Linked DNA regions of Tamandua tetradactyla. Each later gene encodes a partner of the first gene's protein in a complex. Links are inferred from orthologs where the notes say so. Each region holds a gene or a part of one and is shown on either strand. Other genes may lie near its edges.

Evidence for each region.
Region 2: TAF3 (region 1) and TAF7 share a complex: the UniProt entries of both Homo sapiens proteins name them as parts of the TFIID basal transcription factor complex. The link is inferred for Tamandua tetradactyla from reciprocal best matches to the Homo sapiens genes TAF3 and TAF7.

Annotation. Positions count from the first base shown.
Region 1 is NC_135333.1:55,747,106-55,758,035, reverse strand, and holds the start of TAF3 (transcription initiation factor TFIID subunit 3), read left to right. Parts: upstream 1-6,197; 5' UTR 6,198-6,411; coding exon 6,412-6,577; intron 6,578-10,509; coding exon 10,510-10,752; intron 10,753-10,930. UniProt on the Homo sapiens protein: The TFIID basal transcription factor complex plays a major role in the initiation of RNA polymerase II (Pol II)-dependent transcription.
Region 2 is NC_135346.1:21,437,793-21,447,906, reverse strand, and holds TAF7 (transcription initiation factor TFIID subunit 7), read left to right. Parts: upstream 1-6,390; 5' UTR 6,391-6,706; intron 6,707-7,110; 5' UTR 7,111-7,173; coding exon 7,174-8,223; 3' UTR 8,224-8,246; downstream 8,247-10,114. UniProt on the Homo sapiens protein: The TFIID basal transcription factor complex plays a major role in the initiation of RNA polymerase II (Pol II)-dependent transcription.

The DNA of each region.
Region 1 (10,930 bases):
ATTTGCCATCTTTAAATGAAAGTCCAGAAGAAAGTTTTTGCAAGAAAGGGATAACATGCATTTAGCTCTAACTTGGACATTCCATATTGATAAATAAAGTGCTATCTTTTGATAGACATACAGGTTTCCAATTTATAGCTTCTATAGAAGTGTGGAGTAGATATCCTTGGGCAAGTGTTTGCACGCTTGTATGTATAAAATTTAAGTAGACACTGCCAAATTCCTCTAAAAAAGATTATAAACTTGCACCAACAAATAAGAGTGATCCTTCCTACTCTGAAGTTTTGTATATCCTTAATGATGGTTAATGGTGGTTAATAAACAATATCTAATTGCTTGTTCACTCATTTCTCATAACAGTTCTTTGTATATTAGTGATATCAACTCTATCACTTGTGTTGTAATTAGGAAAGCTTATTTAGCCACTGATGGATAAGAATGCACTATCATTGTTTCACTCTAATTTTAAATGCCATCTGATTAGCTATATTTGAAGGAATGCAGTATCCAATATGGGAATTTTTTAAAAGAAATTTTCCATTTCTCTGACAACTTTCTTATAGACCCAGCATAGGGTCTTGAGAAATAAAACCGAGTAAAAATTTATTAATTTGCTTTACCAACAACACTTAAGTGAAGATAGTTTTGTATGCATAGAGCAGGGGTTTTGAAGCAGACTGGGTTGGAATCCCAGCATAGCCCTTTCCAGCTGTGTGACCTTAGGCAAGTTTCATAATCTTCAGTACCTTTTATTGTTAAGATGGAGATTAAACTAGTACCTACCTCATGGAATTGATATAAGGAGTATATGAAAGGATATTTTCAAAGTGCTTAAAAACAGTTTCTGACACATGGCAAGTGCTATGTATGTGGTTAAATGCCTGATCTATGTAAAAGTAATCATCAATTCAATGTATATATTGATGATTCTCTATGTATTGATACTTGCGCTTTGAAGATACAGTGATAATTAAAACACTTCCCTAAAGGAGCTTACAGTCTGGGGAGAAAACAAGCAAATAATGACAAAATGGATAAATGTTGTCATTGGTGAACATATAGGAGGGACACTCGACCAGGTCTAGGGAAGATGAGACTGAGAAGGCTGTCCTGCCTGGAGACAACAGTAGAAATTAAACTACTGGGGAAAGCTGGTGGCGGTGGGAAGGCGTTTCGTTTCAGGCCAGGGAGCCAAAGTGGCAAAGTCCAGAATCAAAATCCTCAAAACACATTCTGAGAACTGTTAATGCAAGAGAAGATGAAAGAAAAGATTAGTCTAGAAATGTTAGCTGGGGCAAGATTATGAACATACATGTGTAGTTTAGACATGCAGAAAGGAGTCTTGAAGAACAAAATTGAAAATTTCCCTCCTAGTTATAATCCATCCATTTATTAAATATCAAAAAACAGAGTGATTACAATGATAAAGTTTATAGATTCATTACATAATTTAAAACAAACTGCTATTCTTTTTTCTGAAACCATCTAGACTGTCCTCAGTGAATGAGATCTATTAGTATTCTAGGATTGAGTTGTCATTATTGCAACTCCTGTTTTCTAAGAATTTGCCTTTTGTGAACCTTTGTTTCCCTTACTGCTTTAATATTTGCAACTTTCAGAAACTTTATTAAGATTGGAACCCTAAGCTTGAAAACTGCAAGTTAATGAGCTCCTGTCAGTACCAACTGAATAAAACGATAACATGGCTGAAGTTGGGTTTCACTAGTTCTCGGCTATAAACCCATTGTTGGCACCGATCTCTTCACTCTGTCCACAGCTTTTCCATATTGCTCTAGGTTCATTATTCACCAGGATAGAAGGCTGAGGATCTGAACTCTCAGAGCTGGTCAGAGCTCAGCTCTCATAAGAAAGCTAAGTCAATAAATCTTGTGTCCTCCAAAGTTGTGTACAGACAATTTGCCACTCAGTGTTCATAGGGAAAGCAACTGCTCTCCATTCCAACTGCTGCAGCTCTTTTAAGAGGCTCTTGTTTTCTTCTACTCACCTCTAATCCATTCTTTAATAACAGCTTTGATGAGATACAATTTATGTACCAGACAATTCATCCTTTTCAATGTACAGTTCAGTGGTTTTTGGTATATTCAGATTTGTGCTGTAACCCATTTTCCACACTATTGATAAACTCTAAAAGCTTTTTCTTTATTGAGCACTAACTCCATGCCAGGTGCCATGCTATATACTGGGGACTTAGCAGTGAATGACAAGGACACAGTTCTTGCTCTGTGTGTACAGCTTAAAGGAGAAGACAAGTCAAAATGATAATTACAGTAGTGTGATAAAGCATAAGATGTCACCTCTTCTGTTCAAAAAACCTTCATTATTGTTAGGCACAGGATCGATTCCTTTGCCTGGCATTGAAGGCTTTCCAGAATGAACTCTTCTCTAACTTCAAACATTTTCTTTCATGTGGTATATTATCTGGCCAGTCTGAACTATGCTATTATCTGTAAATGTCCTTGATTTCCTACTTCTGTTCTCTATAAATGTCTCTTGATTTCCTGTCTCCATATTTTTACTATCTCCTCCCCCTGGGCTGTCCCTTCTGTCTGGTCACCATTCTGGCTATTCAAACCTTACCACTTCCCAAAGCCTAAATGAAATGACCCACTGGAAGTCAGTCCCTCTAACACTTGACTGGGAATAACTGCCTTCTCCTTGTATTATTTTCTTATTACTACTGTAACAAGTTACCACAAACTTAATGACTTCAAACAATGCAAATGTGTCTCATTCAACCTAGATCAAAGTCAAGCTGTGGTCCTTTCTGGTGGTTCTAGGGGAGAATCTGTTTTCTTGCCTTTTTCAGTTTCTAGAAGCTGCCCACAACCCTTCACTTATCCCCTTCCTTTTTGAAAGTCAGCAGTGGCTGGCCGAGTCTTTCTCAGGCCATCTTCCTGGTTCTGACTCATCTATCTTATAATCAGCTGGTTAGCAACCTTGATTTCCATCTGCAACCTTAATTTCCCCTTCCAAGTAACACAGCGTATCCACATGTTCCAAAGATTAAGAATGGGCATCATGAGGGGCCATTATTCTGCCTATCACATTCCTAAAGGTCTGAGCATTACATCTGTGCTTTTCTTACAGCACTTGCTATTTTTTTTTTCTTTTACCTCTCTAACTTCATTTCTATCTTAATTCCTCCCACTAAATTGTAAGCAACTTGATGGCAGTCTTCAGGCATTTTATTCTCTTATCCCAGCCGCATACAGTAGAGTGCTTTGTATAGAATGGGAAGTGAGTATGTCATATTAGCCACCTGCAAATCAACATCCTTCCCAAAGGATTTTTTACAAAACAAAACAATAAAAAGAATATTTCAAAAAGAAAGCAGGCAAAGACCCAAAGGTGAAAAAGTAGTTTGCTTTGGCTGGTGAGTGGATATAAGGAGGCAGTTATGAGAGGTATAGGCTTTAAGGAGCAATGGCAGCCTAACAACTGTGAAGGCTATGGAGACCTGCTGGAATCTTTTAAAAGGAGTAACACACTGCAATCAGATTGACGGTCTAGAACTATTTCTCTGACATCAGTTGAGAAAATGGCTTGTTGGTAAAGGCAGGAAGATGAGAAAGGATGAAGGCCTGTCTTTAGGCAGTACATAGAGATAGAAAGAAATGTCCAAATTTGAGTGAAATGAATAACCTAGAATAGAGAAGGCTTTGTGAGGGCTGGGACACAGAGCAACTTGTGACTTAGTCCTAAGTAGCTCTCTTGGGCATCTTGGTAGATGATGTGAATCTCTGAGACAAAGGATATATAGATTGATGAGTTTAGTTTTGTACATCCATCACACATGAATTAAATTTGAGTTGTATAGGACTCATCCAAGCAGTTGTTAGTTGCTAGAGGCAATAAGTTACACTAGCATAAAGTGAAGGAAAAATCTGGGCTAAAATGTTACATTTGGAGTCATCTTTACATAACTATTCATTCAACCATTGGGGTGAATCGTATGAAAAGAGAACAAATACTTACAAATTAGGCAAAGGATAAAGCAAATATTTGATATTGTTAAAAACCAAGGCTTGGGCGGGCCACGGTGGCTCAGCAGGTAAGAGTGCTTGCCTGGGCATTCCCGGTGCGATTCCCGGTGCCTGCCCATGTTAAAAAAAAAACAAAAAAAACCAAGGTTCTCTGGGAGAAGGGAGGTACACATAAGTAATGGGAGAAGGTAAAGAATATGTAGTTTCAGACTTGAATCAGAGGCACGAGTATGTACTTATGACTCATATATATATATATTTATATTTCCCCCCTAGTTCTGTCTACTAAAAGGGCCCTGAAGTACTGATACCCCTGTAGTAACAAAGATGAACTACCACTCATATCTTGTTTTCTAAATACCAATCCTCACTAAGAAGAATTAGGACCCTTGGAGAAATGGCTAATTCCAAGTCTAGGGCAGGGAAAGTACAAGTATGAACCTGGAAAATCTTGTGTCACAATGAAGGAAATGCTCAATGAAGGGTAGTAGCATGTATCATGAGGTTTTACAATTTATTTTCAAACCATTTTGGAAAGAAAATGTGTTTGCATATATATCTGTGTGTATATAGTAAATGTAGCAAAACTGTTAACAACTGGTGAGTCTAAGTGAAGTTTATACCTGTGTTTATACTTCCTATTCAACTTTTCTGTGGGTTTGATATTTTCCAAAATAAAATAACTGAGGGGTTAAAACAAAACAAAACAAACAACAGGCAAATAAAGTGGTGCCATTATAGAGATTTAAAAAGAGCCTCCAGAAGTATTGAAAGAACACCACCAAGAAAGTGGGGTGTTGTGAAATCCAAGGTACAAGAGAGTTTCAAAGTTAATGCAGTGTTCAACATTGTCAAATGGCTACAAAATGATCAAATAAGGGTAGGACTGAAAAGTGTCCTATAGATTGAGCAGTAAAATGGTCCCTTGTTCCTTCTCTGCGGATTGTTCTTGAGCTGAAGTAGCAGATATTCACTTCTACTGGGTATTTAAGACTTAAAAAAAAATGAATAGCTATTATGTTCAAAGCTCTTGAATAGTACTTGTAGGAAGAATAGGGTCTCTCAAAGTTACAATTTATTAAGGGAAGCAATAAACTCAAATACTAAATGAAGGGTGATAAGTATAAGGAAGTAGGGAACACTCCAAAGCTTGAGAGGATGGACAGGGAGGGGGCGGGGCACATAAGAATATATTTAAGAAACTAAGTACATTAGCCATTACAATTTACCCAGGGTGAATCTAGTTTGGCTTGCAAGCTAAAATTCTGAAAATGTATTATCAATAAAAATTGAAAATTTTGGCAACTTGGAAAGATCTGGCAACACTTTGCTGGAGCTGGGAAAACACTCTGGGGTAGGTGACACTTCCATACACTCAGCCTGCTTAATTCACTTAAGTTCCTTGTTTGGCCTCTGATAAGCAACTGAGTTCCCCATTCCCTTAATAGATCACATGGCTGGAGATAGACAAATGGCAAATTATGGCCCACCGGCGGGCTGCCCGGTATTGTAAATAAAGTTTCATTAGAACGAGAGCCTGGATTAAAGTTGAGGTGAGTAAGGCAGGACCCTGGAAGTGCAGGCTCGGTTCTTGTTTTTAAGATGTTGGCATTTTGTTCATGGATTTTTTAGCTTTAATTTTGATTTTAAAAAATTAAGAAAATATTTATCTTTATTATTGAGATTTTCGTGCCCCCTTAGCAAATCTTGCACCACAGTAACTGCTTCCCTGACCTGACCCTAGGCCCGACCCTGCAGCTTTGAATGCCATATTGAACAGCGTGGACTTACTGAATCTATACAACCATAAGCAGCTCAATTTTTTTAGCAGAAGACAGGATGAGATCCGCGTTTTAGTTAACAATTTAAGTTCCCATCCCCCCAACCAGGCCCCTGTGCTCAAAGCATCTGGGAATCCCACTTCTCTTTGATACCTCCATCTCAATTTCAGGTCCCAGCTTCCTCTTCTGACTCTAAGATACTTTGGCTTCACTCTCCCTTCTTTACAGCGTGAGGGTCCCACTGAGAATACCTCAGTTGTCTGACTTCTCCGGAGCGCACCCTACTTGCAGCCTTTTCCTTCAAGGTTCTAGGTCTGAGAGTCGAGCCCCATTCGATTGGCCTGCGCGAATGGGGAGGAGCGCTTTCTCATCGACTCTCTCAGTGCTCGCTTACTGCTGCCTCGCCCCGGCGACAGTCCAGCGAGAGGCGGAGCGAGTCCAAAATGGCGACTCTCAGGCTGGCGCGCTCCGTGTCGCTGAGGCTTTGAGGAGGTCGCCAGGGGCCGGGGGGGCACAATTTCCCCGCCGCGGGGACCCTGGAGGATGAATCGAGGCCTCTGCTAAGGTTAGGCGGCGCTGGTGGAGAGAAGTGGCAGCAAAAGCTGCGGTGGATTCAGCGGAGCGGGATGTGCGAGAGTTACTCCAGGTCGTTGTTGAGGGTCTCGGTGGCGCAGATCTGCCAGGCGCTGGGCTGGGACTCGGTGCAACTCAGCGCCTGCCACCTCCTCACGGACGTGCTACAACGTTATCTGCAGCAGTTGGGACGGGGCTGCCACCGGTACTCTGAGCTCTGTGAGTACCGGGCTGGGTGCGGGAGGGTTAGCTCCGGCGAGTCACGAGTGACACCTTCAGTCTGTCCTTCCCTCCCTCAGCGTCTCGGAGTTTTTAGTTCTTTTCCACTATCCTGAAATCTGGCCTCCTACGCTCCGTCGCTTCCACTCCTCCTTCAAACTCCAGTTATCCCTTTAGTACCGCTTCCTCATCCGCTAACTTCCCGCCACCAGCTTTGGAGCCCTGTCTCCACTCCCAGCTCCATACCCTCTCATCCCTTCTCTACTCTGCAGTGTGTATCAGAGTTTCTCATTGTCTCGTTTTTGGTGCATGTAGGAGCCTCTCCAGAATGACTTACACCCCTTTTTTACCTTGGTCCCTTTCCTCCCTTGCCCGCAAACTACTACAACTAGTTGTCACTGGCGCTCCGTCTACCGGTCGTTTTATACAAGACTAGCCATTCTTTATCATAATACATCTCTTTGACAGCTCTGCTCCGTTAGGAACACTGATGCTTCTTTCTGTATCTATTTAGTTCATAGACAGCATCTCGGCTCTTTATGTCCCAGGATCAATTTTGTCACTTTCACTGATTAGATGAAATTTCACTTACATCACCATTGATTTTCACCATTTATACGTATCAGTGGTTATCAAAGGCTGATATAGGGATCATAGGCAGTTTACCAAGTAAACTGAGCTACAGTATTTATAGCTTTAAGTGACTATCTGCTAGTATCTATATATGGTAGTCTTTAATAATGTGGAATATTTAATAGAAATATCCTATCCTCTGATTGATGTGAAATGTGTGTATGGTGGGGGTGAGAGGAACACTCCACTCATTTAAATTTTGGAACATGATTGTTATGGTGTTAAACTGGAAAACTGGGTGTTTCATAGAATATATTATTTTGTTAAAGTGGTTCCTAGAATGAAAAATTGAGACCCACGGATATGTTTTGTTTCTTGGGCCCCAAATTCTGTTCCAGCTTCAATAGTACTGCAAAATAATCTATCCATAATACGAATCTAAATGTGTCGTTCTTAAAATCCTTCAGTTGTCGTTCATTGGCTACAGGCAAAAAAAAATCTACATTCTTGTATAGCACACAATTCTCTTCGTGAGCTAGCATTTTAATTTTCTGCTATCCAATCATCGCAATCCCATTCTGCCACCATGCCGAGCTAACTGACATTTCCAAAACAGTTGAAACTATGCATTCCTATGTGCATGCTGTTTCTTAGAGTGTCCTTGGCCCCCTGGTCCATCAGTAGTACTATGTATGATTTGAGATCACCAATCACTTGCTCTAGGAAACTCATGTTACCTGCTTGCATAATTCTTTGTATAGTTCTGTTATGTTATTTAACACCTTGTTTTCTAATCATCTGAATATGTCTCTCTCCAGTCCCTTCTCCTTTCCTCTCTCCAGGATACTGTGGAACTCTTACATATATATATGTTCGGTAACCTGGTGTGGTACCATAATATAATAGGGCTACTAGGTTCGTAATCTAGTATGAATGATAGCCTACTACCGTAATAACTATTGACTTTACTTTCTGAGTTCAAAAATGTGTATTTTTTTGAATGCTTGATTTCACAAATACTGCTAACCTGATTTTGGAACTGCGAAGTGACTCTCATTCTGTGCTATCTTGGAAGTAACCACCAGCATAATACTCTCCTGGCTTTTGCTTCCCTCTCATCTACTCCTCTTTCATGGTCCTTGAGTATAGTGTTACCCATTATGCATAGTCCAGGTTGCGTTCTTGCTACCAAGTTCCCTTAATAAGGACATATGTTCTGCACCTCTAATCAAATATCCCCTGAAACATAGTTACCTTCCTGTCTTATAGGCAGAACCAGGAAATATGCTGGTACTTTATGTATCTAGGTTGGCCAAAGTCATCAAGTGATGATTGCTGTGATTAATATAACTGTCTTTCCTAATTACCCAATTTCTATAGTCAGTTTTCTTTATTTTAGTCGGAATGCAATTATCATGTTCATTATTCCCCATCATGGTTTGGCGAGTTTTTAAAATTCTGTTTCCTGGATATCCTGATTATGCTTATTAATTACAGACATTTTTAAAATTCTTTTTTTCTAAACTATCTTTACTTTAAAATCGCATGCTATAAACTTAGGTTGCCATTATGCAACTTTATATTACGCCTTTAAATACGCCTTTAAATTCTTTTTGGCTTTTTAACAAACATTCATTGAACACCACTTATGTGCTAAGTCCTCTGCTAGGTGTTAGAGACATTAGAGTTATTGAAACACAACCCCTGCTCAAAGGGTGTGTACAGGAGTGCCAAATTGTCAACAAATCTGATGGTATTTGTTCCTTTAAAATTTTTTTTTCTCAAGTTAAAGCAAGTATCACAAGTGATTATTAATTAAACAAATAATAAAATTTTTAAGTTTCTGTAAGATAATGATTTCTCAAAGCATTCAGGGCAAATGTTTCTCAGTGTGTTGTATTATGAATTAAATAAGTGTGCATGCACTGAAAGCAGATGTTAAACCTTTCAGGGTGACTCTTCAAGACAAGGACCATAACTTAATAATTCCATGATATGGGCAGTAAATGCAAAGGGGATAAGGTAAAGGAGAGATGGTTGTGGATTATGAATTGGGGTAAAATGACCTTACAGAAAAGATGAGATTTGAGATAGACTATGAAATATGTTTGTAAAAGGTGGAGAGCATTCCAAGTTAGAGAATAATACAAATGAAGAAGTAAAACGTGAGAGGAAGCATGATAAAACTTCCAGTTAGGTGACCAGCTTGGTGACGAGCTTCACAGATGAAGCAAGTTCATTTAAAGGGCAATAAAAGAAAAGGTTAAGCAGAGTGAAGTTAGGGTGTAGAGATATTTAAAGCTATGCAGAAGAATTGAAACATATGGTTTGGTATGTGGTATATGGTAGGTGATAGGAAAAAGGGCATATTCCTAAATAGCGAGAACAATGTAATAAAAGTGGTATTCTAAGAGAACTTAAAACCATATTGAGGGATGATAGTAGGAATGGAGAGAAAGAAAAAAAAAATGAAATCTTTGACCAAAAAGGAGAAAAAAAAGTACCAGAGTTCTTGGCTTGAGATTGTAAAGGATAGGGAAGAATTCAAGATGATCGTATTTTTTAGACTGAGAGAATAATACCTTTAATAGAGGTGGAAGAGTTAAAATTAGTATCTTCGTCAGTTAAAGAAAGAATGAGTATTAATTTTTTTTTTAATTTTCCATTTCATACATCATAGAAGTAACCGATACTTGTAGAAAAATTCAGACTGCAGAAGTTGTTGAAGTTAGAAAGTTTCCTGTCTCTTCTTTTCCCTTCCCCTGTACTGCGGCTCCCTTCCCCCTTCAACTGTTATCCTTCCAGAGCTTTTCTGTATGTGCACAAGCATATGCATGTGTCTAATTTTTACAAAATGCTTTTTCATTTTACAGTATGATTTAATTTTAGATATACTGAATTTGAAATGATCATAGGAGATTTTAGTAAAAAAAATCCTTTAGGCTCTTGGAAATTGGAAACTGGAATTTAAATAAGAGGTCTTAACTAAAAGATGACCTTAGGCTTGCCAAAGGTAGGCATAGCTTTCACTATAACCTTTTTTTTTTTTTGTATGGGCAGGCACCAGGAATCGAACCTGGGTCTCTGGCATGGCAGGCAAGAACTCTGCCTGCTGACCCACCGTGGCCCACCCTCATTATAACTTTTATTGGTGCTGTTAACACCATGCCATTCTCTATCCACTTTATATAGTGTCTTCTAATTATGTTAAAGAAATTATATATAATTACCTTTATGATCAAGTCCTTTCTTGTAAATTTTCTTGGATTTAAAAACAAAAATACTTTTTTTCGTTAGTAATTAAAAATATTCCTTGAATGTCTTTAAAATAATTTGATTTGCTTTTGTCTTTGTTTCAGATGGCCGAACAGACCCAATTTTGGATGATGTTAGTGAAGCTTTCCAACTTATGGGGGTTAATCTTCATGAACTAGAAGACTATATTCACAATATTGAGCCTGTCACTTTCCCACATCAAATTCCTTCATTTCCTGTTAGTAAGAACAATGTCCTTCAGTTTCCTCAACCTGGAAGTAAAGATGCAGAAGAAAGAAAAGAATACATTCCTGATTACATGCCACCCATTGTGTCTTCTCAAGAAGGTATGTGGGTTTTTTTGTTTGCATGTTTGTTTCTTGTTCATGTATTTGTGACTATTTTAATGGATTTTGATCTTCTTAGCTTTTCTAACTGAATTATAAAATGCTGTAGCAACATATGAATTTTTGAAATGCAATAAAAATATTTTAATGTTATTTACAAATTATTCTAACTTATAAA
Region 2 (10,114 bases), on another chromosome or scaffold:
ACGATTAAAGAGTAAACCTTGCTCCTCTGGAAATGTTTTCCAGGATTTTCCAAACAAAATATCTGGTCATAAAAGTCTTTACGTTTTCATTTATATCCAGGATGAGTATGTTTATATGAAAAACATTTCCACGATTGTCAGGGACTGTTTCAAATTCCAAGGGGTCTTCCTTTGGCGTATCAGTTCTATGTATCCAATCATTCGTCCCTTGCGGTAAAGCACTCTCACCCTTAGGCTTCTTCTCAGCACTCACCAGTGTGTTTCTGGACACTGAGCCCCAGATTTTGGGCGAGATCCCCCTCCTTGGCCATCTCTTCCGGATCTCGTGGCGCATCTGGGGCGTGACTCACTGCGCAGCGCAAAGCAGCAGGGAGGGAAATAGTGCTTCCAGTCGCTCCGCGCGCCTTCCGCGTCTCTTGTTGGTTGTTCCCGGACGACCAAGGTGCGCTGAAAAGAAAAGGCAGACCATCCTGTGGGGTCATTAAACATCCTGACGTTCCTGATCCAAATATCTGGAACAGATTGCGGGAGAGAGAGCTTGCGGGCTCCTCTCGATGTGTTTCTTAAAAAAGATCTGGGGGATCGCGGCGGCTGACTGTCTAGTGGGTGGCTTTGCTTCATCCTAGCCACCGATTGGCCGACAGCGGCACCCAGAGGCCCTACGTGATATCTATCGCGGGTTATTTCTGACTGTTCTCATTAGAGATTCTATTTGCTTTATTGATGGAACTTCTTGTTCCATTCAGGTGCCCATCCCCCATTGACCTAAGAGGAATATGGGATTCTGATAAATCTAAGTCAATAATGGTCTAATCTCTTCTTGGCAGTGCACGGTTTAGGAATATAGGCTTAAAATAATTCGTTTATGGCAGGGTTTCTCGACCTTGCTACTACTGACATTTTTAGGCACATAACTCTCTCTTTTAGAGGCCTGTGCTGTGCAGTATATGATGTTTAGCAATATTTCTGCCCTCTACCCACTAGATGCCAGTAGTAACCCTCTCCACTCCAGGTGTAACAACCAAAAGGGTCTTCAAACATCACCAGGTATCCCCACCCCCCTCCCACCTGGGTTGAGAATCATAGGCTTAGGGTATTCTTCTAGTTACTTATTGTTTAGGGATGGGTACATGACCTAAATCCATTTGGATTAAAGAAAGACTTTCGTTGGGGGATGGGCAAGGGAGGACCGTGGCCAGGTTTTGAAAATTCACAGGCTGAGGAAGGCAGTGCTGGGAGAAAAAAAAAGCAGAAATAAATATTCATTCTTTAAAACTAGGAAGTGAAAACCAAATTGTGTCAGGCCATGATTATATCGTCTCATACCTCTAGATCTCTGTGGTCCAGTACAGAAGCCACCAGCCACGTGTGGCCATTGAGCCCTTGAAATGTGCCCATTCCAAAGTGAGATGTGTTGTAAGTGTAAATACACACCAGATTTTGAAGGGTTACTACACAATAAGAATGTAAGTATTTCTAACAATTTGTATATCAATCACATATTGAAATTACAATATTATATATATTGGTCTAAATACAACATATTATTTAAGTTAATTTCTACTTGTTTCTTTTTGCCATTTAAGATCACATTTGTGGCTCATATCTGTGGCTTACATTGTATTTCTATTGGACAGTGATGCTCAAGGTTTGTGATAATGATTTTCTTATTTCTTAAATTAGTATACATTAGTTGCTTTTTCTCATAAAAGGCTTCCTACTTGACAAAAATATGTTGTACATATTTTTAGGTAATTTGCATTATGCCTGAAAAATACATGGTGATATAGGGTGCACAGGTGGTTCAGTAGTAGAATGCTCGCCTTTCATGTGGGAAACCCGGGTTAGACTCCTGGACCATGCCTCCCCCCCAAAACATATTGTGATATAATAGTAAATAAGCTTCCTTTACTGGATATTTGCTATTTCCTCACTCCTATAAATTTCTAATTCCAAAATATAAACAGAACTTATCTCATCACCCACAATTTTTTAATCTCCAAAGTATTAGCAGCCCTTTAAGGAAAGTGAAAGTTTACTACAGGAAACTTTCAAGAATACAGTATTAGCAGTAGCCTAATTATTGTCTTCCCTTATTATAGGTAGGAAGTCTTTGAAGGACTTGTTACCACTCTGGAAAATTTATTGCCTTCCCTAAATATTTGGTTCACTGGTATCACAGATATTCCATAAACAAGTACAGGGGGGTAATTGATCGGCTCAGAGTCTGTGTTTTTCTGTATGTTTAATGGATTTGAAAAAACGAACGAACCTGGATTTCTTAATAGATACTAAGGTGATGGTGATATGGCAGAGATCTTAACTTCAAGGTCAGTATAATCCCTCCCCACCCCATTTAATAGCCTTTAGAACACATGCTAAACTCAAAAGCCAATAATATGTTTCAGGATTAAATGAGTTAGATGCCTCAGGGAAACCTCAGTTAATCCCTTTGGTTAATTCAAACTGTCTTCCAGTTTAAGGTTTACTAACGAAAATACATCATAATTTGAGCAAATCAGTATTTAATAGAATTAATCTCAGGCTACTTTCTGTGACAAGGGCATTTGAATATCCCCAAACTTGGGGAATTAAAACATAAAATAATATTTAGATTATTTTCATTCATAAGCATTATTTATATTTTATATATAAATATATATATATATATAATTGCAGAGGCTAGAATGTTTACTCTTCTATCTGTAAAATAAGTAAAATCAGGTATAATTGAGGAACAAGCACATTGAAAAAATTTCCTCTTCAACAGACAGAAAATAGATCATCATGGAAATAATAAATGAATCAAATAGCATCCTTCAATACAAAGAGAAGGATGCCCTTCTGGAAGGGCATACTTTCTTCTTAAAGATTAACATAAAACTAAATTAATCCTAGGTCATTTTAATTTCTTCCTATAATACAATATCACAATCTACCTAAAACCAAGAGGACACATTCACATACACTATGATTAATCTCCCCTGCCCCATAACAATTGGCACTACCCTCAACTAGAGAAGAAATTATTATCTATGTATTAGAGACATAGATGAAGTGACTCTATCTCATTTTAAGGTGACAGAGAAAGTATTCTCTCTCATAAATTATGACAGGAGTTAGCCTATATTTGTGTTCTTTCTACATAGATCAATTTTCCATCCAATTAGCAAACTTTTCTTGTGTTTCTCCTATGTTGTGGTAGTAGGCACATGATGAATAAAATAGAAATGCTCCCTGACCATCACGGAGCTTTCAATCTGGGGTGAGGAAAACAATTAACAAGTGCATAAATAAAGCAATTTTGGGAATATTAATCAGACAAGATATTCTCTTAAATTCATGTGTAATTGTTAATATTTGAGAGGATAGCAATTAGATTCTAAACGACTTTGATGCTCTACCAAACTGATCCTATTTGAAAAAAATGGAAATGAGTAGGAATAAGTGGAAACCCTTATCTATTACTTGGCAACAATATAAATAGGTGTTGATGCACACCAGACAACCCATACGTGAAACAAACAGAAAATAGCCAGCAAAACAGTAGTGCCATAGTGAAAAAAATTCAGCATGTGTGTTGGTTTGAAAGGATTATGTACCCTAGAAAAGCCATGTTTTAATCCTAATCACTCTTGTGAGAGAAATGTTTTCTTCTAATCTCTAGGTTGGAAATTTGATTAGTTTATTTCCACAGAGATGTGATTCACCCAATTGTGGTGATTAAACTTGATTAGATGAAGAGGTGTCTCCACCCATCCTACATGGGACTTGATTAGTTTACTGGAATCGTATAAAAGAAGAGACATTTCAGAGAGAGTTCCCTTTTTTGAGAACGAGGAGAGGAGCGCAGAGTCAGACACAAGGACGAGAGAACCACAGAGTCCACCAGCCAGGGACCTTTGGAGATGAAGGAACACTCCTCCCCAGGAGCTTCATGAAGCAAAAGTCCTGGAGAGAAAGCTAGCAGACGCTGCCGTGTTTGCCATGTGCCCTTTCAGCTGAGAAAGAAACGCGCTGAACGTCATCAGCCTTCTCCAACGAAGGTATCTTTCCCTGGATGCTTAGATTGGACCCTTCTATAGACTTGTTTTAATTTCGACAATTTCACAGCCTTAGAACTGTAAGCTAGCAAGTTATTAAATTCCCCTTCTTAAAAGCCATTCCGGACCCAGCAATACCATTGCTAGGTATCTACTCAAAGGACTTAAGGGCAAAGACACAAACGGACATTTGCACACCAATGTTTATAGCAGCATTATTTACAATTGCAAAGAGATGGAAACAGCCAAAATCTCCATCAACAGAAGAGTGGCTAAACAAACTGTGGTATATACATACGATGGAATATTATGCAGCTTTAAGACAAGATAAACTTATGAACCATGTAATAACATGGATGGACCTAGAGAATATTATGCTGAGTGAATCCAGCCAAAAACTAAAGGACAAATACTGTATGGTCCCACTGATGTGAACGGACATTCGAGAATAAACTTGAAATATGTCATTGGTAACAGAGTTCAGCAGGAGTTAGAAACAGGGTAAGACAATGGGTAATTGAAGCTGAAGGGATACAGACTGTGCAACAGGACTAGATACAAAAACTCAAAAATGGACAGCACAATAATACCTAATTGTAAAGTAATCATGTTAAAACACTGAATGAAGCTGCATCTGAGCTATAGGTTTTTGTCTTGTTTTGTTTTGTTTTGTTTTGATTTTACTATTATTACTTTTATTTTTTTCTCTATATTAACATTCTATATCTTTTTCGGTTATGTTGCTAGTTCTTCTAAACCAATGCAAATGTACTAAGAAATGATGATCATGCATCTATGTGATGATGTTAAGAATTAATGATTGCATGTGTAGAATGGTATGATCTCTAAATGTTGGGTTAATTTCTTTTTTTCCGTTAATTAAAAAAAAAAAAAGAGAAGGGATAATTGGAGATGAAGGGATACAGACTGTACAACGGGACTTGATATAAAAACTCAGAAATGGACAGCACAATACTACCCAATTGTAATGCAATTATGTTAAAACACTGAATGAGGCTGCATGGAGGTATAGGTTTTTTGTTTTTGTTTTTTTTGTTTTTTTTTCTTCCTATTATTGTTTCAATTCTTATTCTGTTGTCTTTTTATTTCTTTTTCTAAATCGATGCAAATGTACTAAGAAATGATGAATATGCAACTATGTGATGTTATTAAGAATTACTGATTGTACATGTAGATTGGAATGATTTCTAATTGTTTTGTTAATTCTTTTTTTAATTAATAAAAAAAAAATTTACTGAGGTATAAAAAAAAAAAAAAAAAAAAAAACAAGGAAAAATCAAAAAAAAAAAAAAAAAAAAAAAAAAAAACACTGAATGAAGCTGCATCTGAGCTATAGGTTTTTGTTTTGTTTTGTTTTGTTTTGATTTTACTATTATTACTTTTATTTTTTTCTCTATATTAACATTCTATATCTTTTTCGGTTATGTTGCTAGTTCTTCTAAACCAATGCAAATGTACTAAGAAATGATGATCATGCATCTATGTGATGATGTTAAGAATTAATGATTGCATGTGTAGAATGGTATGATCTCTAAATGTTGGGTTAATTTCTTTTTTTCCGTTAATTAAAAAAAAAAAAAGAGAAGGGATAATTGGAGATGAAGGGATACAGACTGTACAACGGGACTGGATATAAAAACTCAGAAATGGACAGCACAATACTACCCAGTTGTAATGCAATTATGTTAAAACACTGAATGAAGCTGCATGTGAGGTATAGGTTTTTTGTTTTTGTTTTTTTTTCTTTCTATTATTGTTTTAATTCTTATTCTGTTGTCTTTTTATTTCTTTTTCTAAATCGATGCAAATGTACTAAGAAATGATGAATATGCAACTATGTGATGTTATTAAGAATTACTGATTGTACATGTAGATTGGAATGATTTCTAATTGTTTTGTTAATTCTTTTTTTAATTAATAAAAAAAAAAAAAAAGCCATTCCGTTCTAGCATATTGCATTCCGGCAGCTAGCAAACCAGAACAGTTATAAATTCTTGTATTGGCTCCCAGACACACTTTGGGGAGCATCATATTCCTTGAAGCAGTGACACTTTGCACACTAACGCCCTTATCTCCGGTAATCATCCGGAAGCCTAGAGGCTATCCGGCTCCATGGAGATCCGATAAAAGTCCTGGCTTAGCAGGGTAGCTAGAGGTGGGGGGTAGGGGAAGTCTGTCTCTTAATCCGAACTGTTATTTCCGTGCGTTCTCAAACCAAAAGCTCTGTATGAAATATTTTACTTCTTACGGGGTTTACGGTCTACGTTGTCGCAAAAATTGGCCTTTCACGCCCAGCTGCGCAAACGCGCATGCGCGCGCCGGGCGGCTCTCATTTCCGGGCAGGGGGTCGTGTCGCTCAAGCCGCCTCCCGCCCCGCGCAGTGACGTAGCGCTTCTTTGTTCTCTAGGTCTGCAGCTCCGGACTGAGCGCTGCGGTATACTGAGCTGCGAATCTCGGCGACATTTCGCGTTGATAGCCCTGGTCCTTTCACTCGTAATTGGTAGCGGATCTTTGTGCCAACCGCTGAGAAGAACAGAGGCATCGAAAAGGAGACTCTGGGCCCCTGGCTGCCGTGCTTCGGGCCGAGTCCTCTTCCGCTCGCACCGGTCTGGAGAAGCCGAACTTGTAATCTTCAGTGGATTGTAAGTACCGGAGGCGAAGAAAGCTCACTGCGCCTCGCTTTTTAAAATATCTTTGTTCCGGGAGAGTTTGTGGATTGGGAATGTCTGTTGGGCATTACTTTCTGGGCCGAAAATAATTTCGCCGGAACCGCCATTTGCTTTGCTGCTTGCTAGCTGTTTGCATTGTCCGGCAGCGGCACCTAGAGGTTGAAACTTGGCATTGCAGCTAATAGATTTAAATGATCACAACTGCGAAAAAGCCAGTGTTTGTCAGTAACGACTGGTTCTCAGTCGCGTCATATTTAGAGAAAAGGCCTGGGACTTAATTCATAATTAAGTAAAAATAGATGCTTAGCTGCTGTTGTGTTTTAAACTTTGTAATGAAGAATTTCAGTTTGTAACAGTGGCTTTTCTAATTATTGCAGAAAGTAACTTGGAACTTGTTAGTGAAACAAGTTTTAGAGGAGAAGTGTCACAAGGAAGTAAAGATGAGTAAGAGCAAAGATGATGCTCCTCATGAGCTAGAGAGCCAGTTTATTCTACGCCTACCTCCGGAATATGCCTCTACTGTGAGGAGGGCAGTACAGTCTGGCCATGTCAACTTGAAAGACAGACTGACAATTGAGTTACATCCTGATGGGCGCCATGGAATTGTCAGAGTGGACCGGGTCCCACTGGCTTCAAAGTTGGTAGATCTGCCCTGCGTTATGGAAAGCTTGAAAACCATTGATAAAAAAACCTTTTACAAGACAGCTGATATCTGTCAGATGCTTGTGTCAACAGTGGATGGTGACCTCTACCCTCCAGTGGAAGAGCCAGTTGCCGCTGCTGATCCAAAAGCAAGCAAGAAAAAGGATAAGGACAAAGAGAAGAAGTTTATCTGGAACCATGGAATTACTCTGCCTCTAAAAAATGTCAGAAAGAGACGGTTCCGTAAGACAGCAAAGAAGAAGTACATTGAATCTCCAGATGTGGAAAAGGAAGTGAAGCGTTTGCTGAGTACAGATGCAGAAGCAGTCAGTACTCGTTGGGAAATCATTGCAGAAGATGAAACCAAAGAGGCAGAAAATCAGGGCCTTGATATCTCCTCTCCGGGAATGTCTGGCCATAGGCAGGGCCATGACTCATTAGAACACGATGAGCTTCGGGAGATATTTAATGACCTCAGCAGCAGCAGCGAAGATGAAGATGAGACGCATCATCCGGATGAAGAAGATATAAACATCATCGATACGGAGGAGGATCTGGAGAGACAGCTGCATGACAAGCTAAATGAATCAGATGAACAGCACCAAGAAAACGAGGGAACCAATCAGCTGGTTATGGGGATTCAGAAGCAGATTGATAACGTGAAGGGCAAGCTCCAAGAGACCCAGGACAGGGCAAAACGACAGGAGGATCTCATCATGAAGGTGGAAAACTTGGCGCTCAAGAACAGATTTCAGGCTGTGTTGGATGAACTCAAACAGAAGGAAGACCGAGAAAAGGAGCAGCTTAGCTCTTTGCAAGAAGAGCTAGAATCACTCCTAGAGAAGTGAGAAAACCTTTGATACTTAATTTTTTTTTTTTTTTTTTTTTTTTTTTTTTTTAAAGGAAAGACAGAGAGAAGGAAGGAAGGATAGAAGGAAGGAAGGAAGGAAGAAAGGGAAACATTTTTAAACATTTTCTTGTTTTATTGTATTCTGTTTCTCCGTTTTTGTTACATGGGCTGGGGCCGGGAATCGAACCGAGGTCCTCCGGCATAGCAGGCAAGCACTTTGCCCGCTGAGCCACCGCGGCCCGCCCTGATACTTAATTTTATTCCTCAGACAGGTCAGCCAAAAAGAAACACCTAGAATTGGATATTATGACCTTGTAGTAGTTCCTTTTCCCTCTTCTGTCTTCTGTTGAGTTTATCCTGTTTGTTTCTCAGAACCAGTTTGCTAGGTGTTTCTCTTCTAGGAAGTAGGCTTGTATAGGTAGAAAAATGATTTTAGGAAAGTTGTAGGATTGAACAGTTTAATGTTCATAATCACAGCTATACTGCAAGACTTTGCTGTTGTTACTCTGTTTGCCAGACACTATTGCTTTTTTGATGCCTTCTGAGATCAGTAAGAAAAGGCAGTGAAGCTAGTTTGCATTTTTTCCCCCATGCGTTAGCTATTTTCCCAGCTATTCAGAGCAGTTGTTTTCACATGTAGAAATGCAAATAATCTCATAAAATTGTTTCTAATACAGTTAATAAAAGCAATTATTTTTCACCTCATCTGTCTTGTTCTTCCATGGATGGTGGGAGTTGTGGGAGGTGATTTCTTGGTGGGGTTTAGTGACTGAGCAATTTGTTCCTTTTTTGCAGCTAAAAAAGCAGTTAAATTGGGGTTTTAAGAAAAAGACACTGCACGGGCCAAGAAATTGGGAAGTGTTATTTTTATATTAAATTTCCAAACCTCCTTTATTTGGAGGTTGGGAAACACTTGATACGGTAGCCTAAGCTACCTTAAATTGTGTAACACTTGATACAGTAGGCTAAGCTACCTTAAATTTTGTAAATGAAGATCTGTTAGTATCCTTTTTTTAAAGGACTAATGTCACCTGCTTAAGTGGCTAATGCAATGGATATCAAGTACAATTAAATGAATCATTCCACTGGTTTGGATTAAGGTTATGTTTCTAAATATTTTCAATTAACTTCTACAATTACTTAGTAATCAGAACTGAGGTATTTATTCATGTCAGCTCAACAGAATTGGTAATAAAGGAGTCAGTATCATAGTCTGATATTTCATAATTTCTTAAACATATTTAGAATTTTTATGTTCTCAAGTGATCCATGTTATGAAGATATCTAATGCTTCAAATGAGCTATTTTTGAAAAATAAGTTGTAGAATTTACAAAATGTAGAGTTGCAGGCAGTTCGTTTCTGACATTGTTTTATGGGAGAAAAAGTTTTGGTTTGAAAATGCTATTAGCCTCAGAAGTAAATATTTAAAGCACATTTTAATTTTGTATTTGACAGGAAACATCAGTTGTGAAACGTTAAAATCAGTTATTTAGACTTCAAATCAGTTATTCAGACACCAGGTCTTCAAATCGGATATTCTGATATTTGTGGACTTTTCACAAAACTGATTTTTCTCATTATCTGGTCATTACTTATTTGCTGAAACATTTTCACATTTTTAGGGTTTTCGTACAGAATGTGGAGGCTTAGACAGGGTTTCCCTCAATATATAGGCTTTGGACTCTGTCTTGAAGTTTGCAAATAATAAGAGCTAAGTTTTCTTAACATATTAGTGTTGTGGGTAACAAATTCTATTGTAGTATACCTGGGTATTCTGCTATGCTTAGAAGATTCATGCCTGAAAAACTCCCATGGTATTTTTTTATTTTATGGTGTTTTTATTTTTATTTTTATTTTTATTTTTTTTTTTTTAAACATTTTCTTGTTT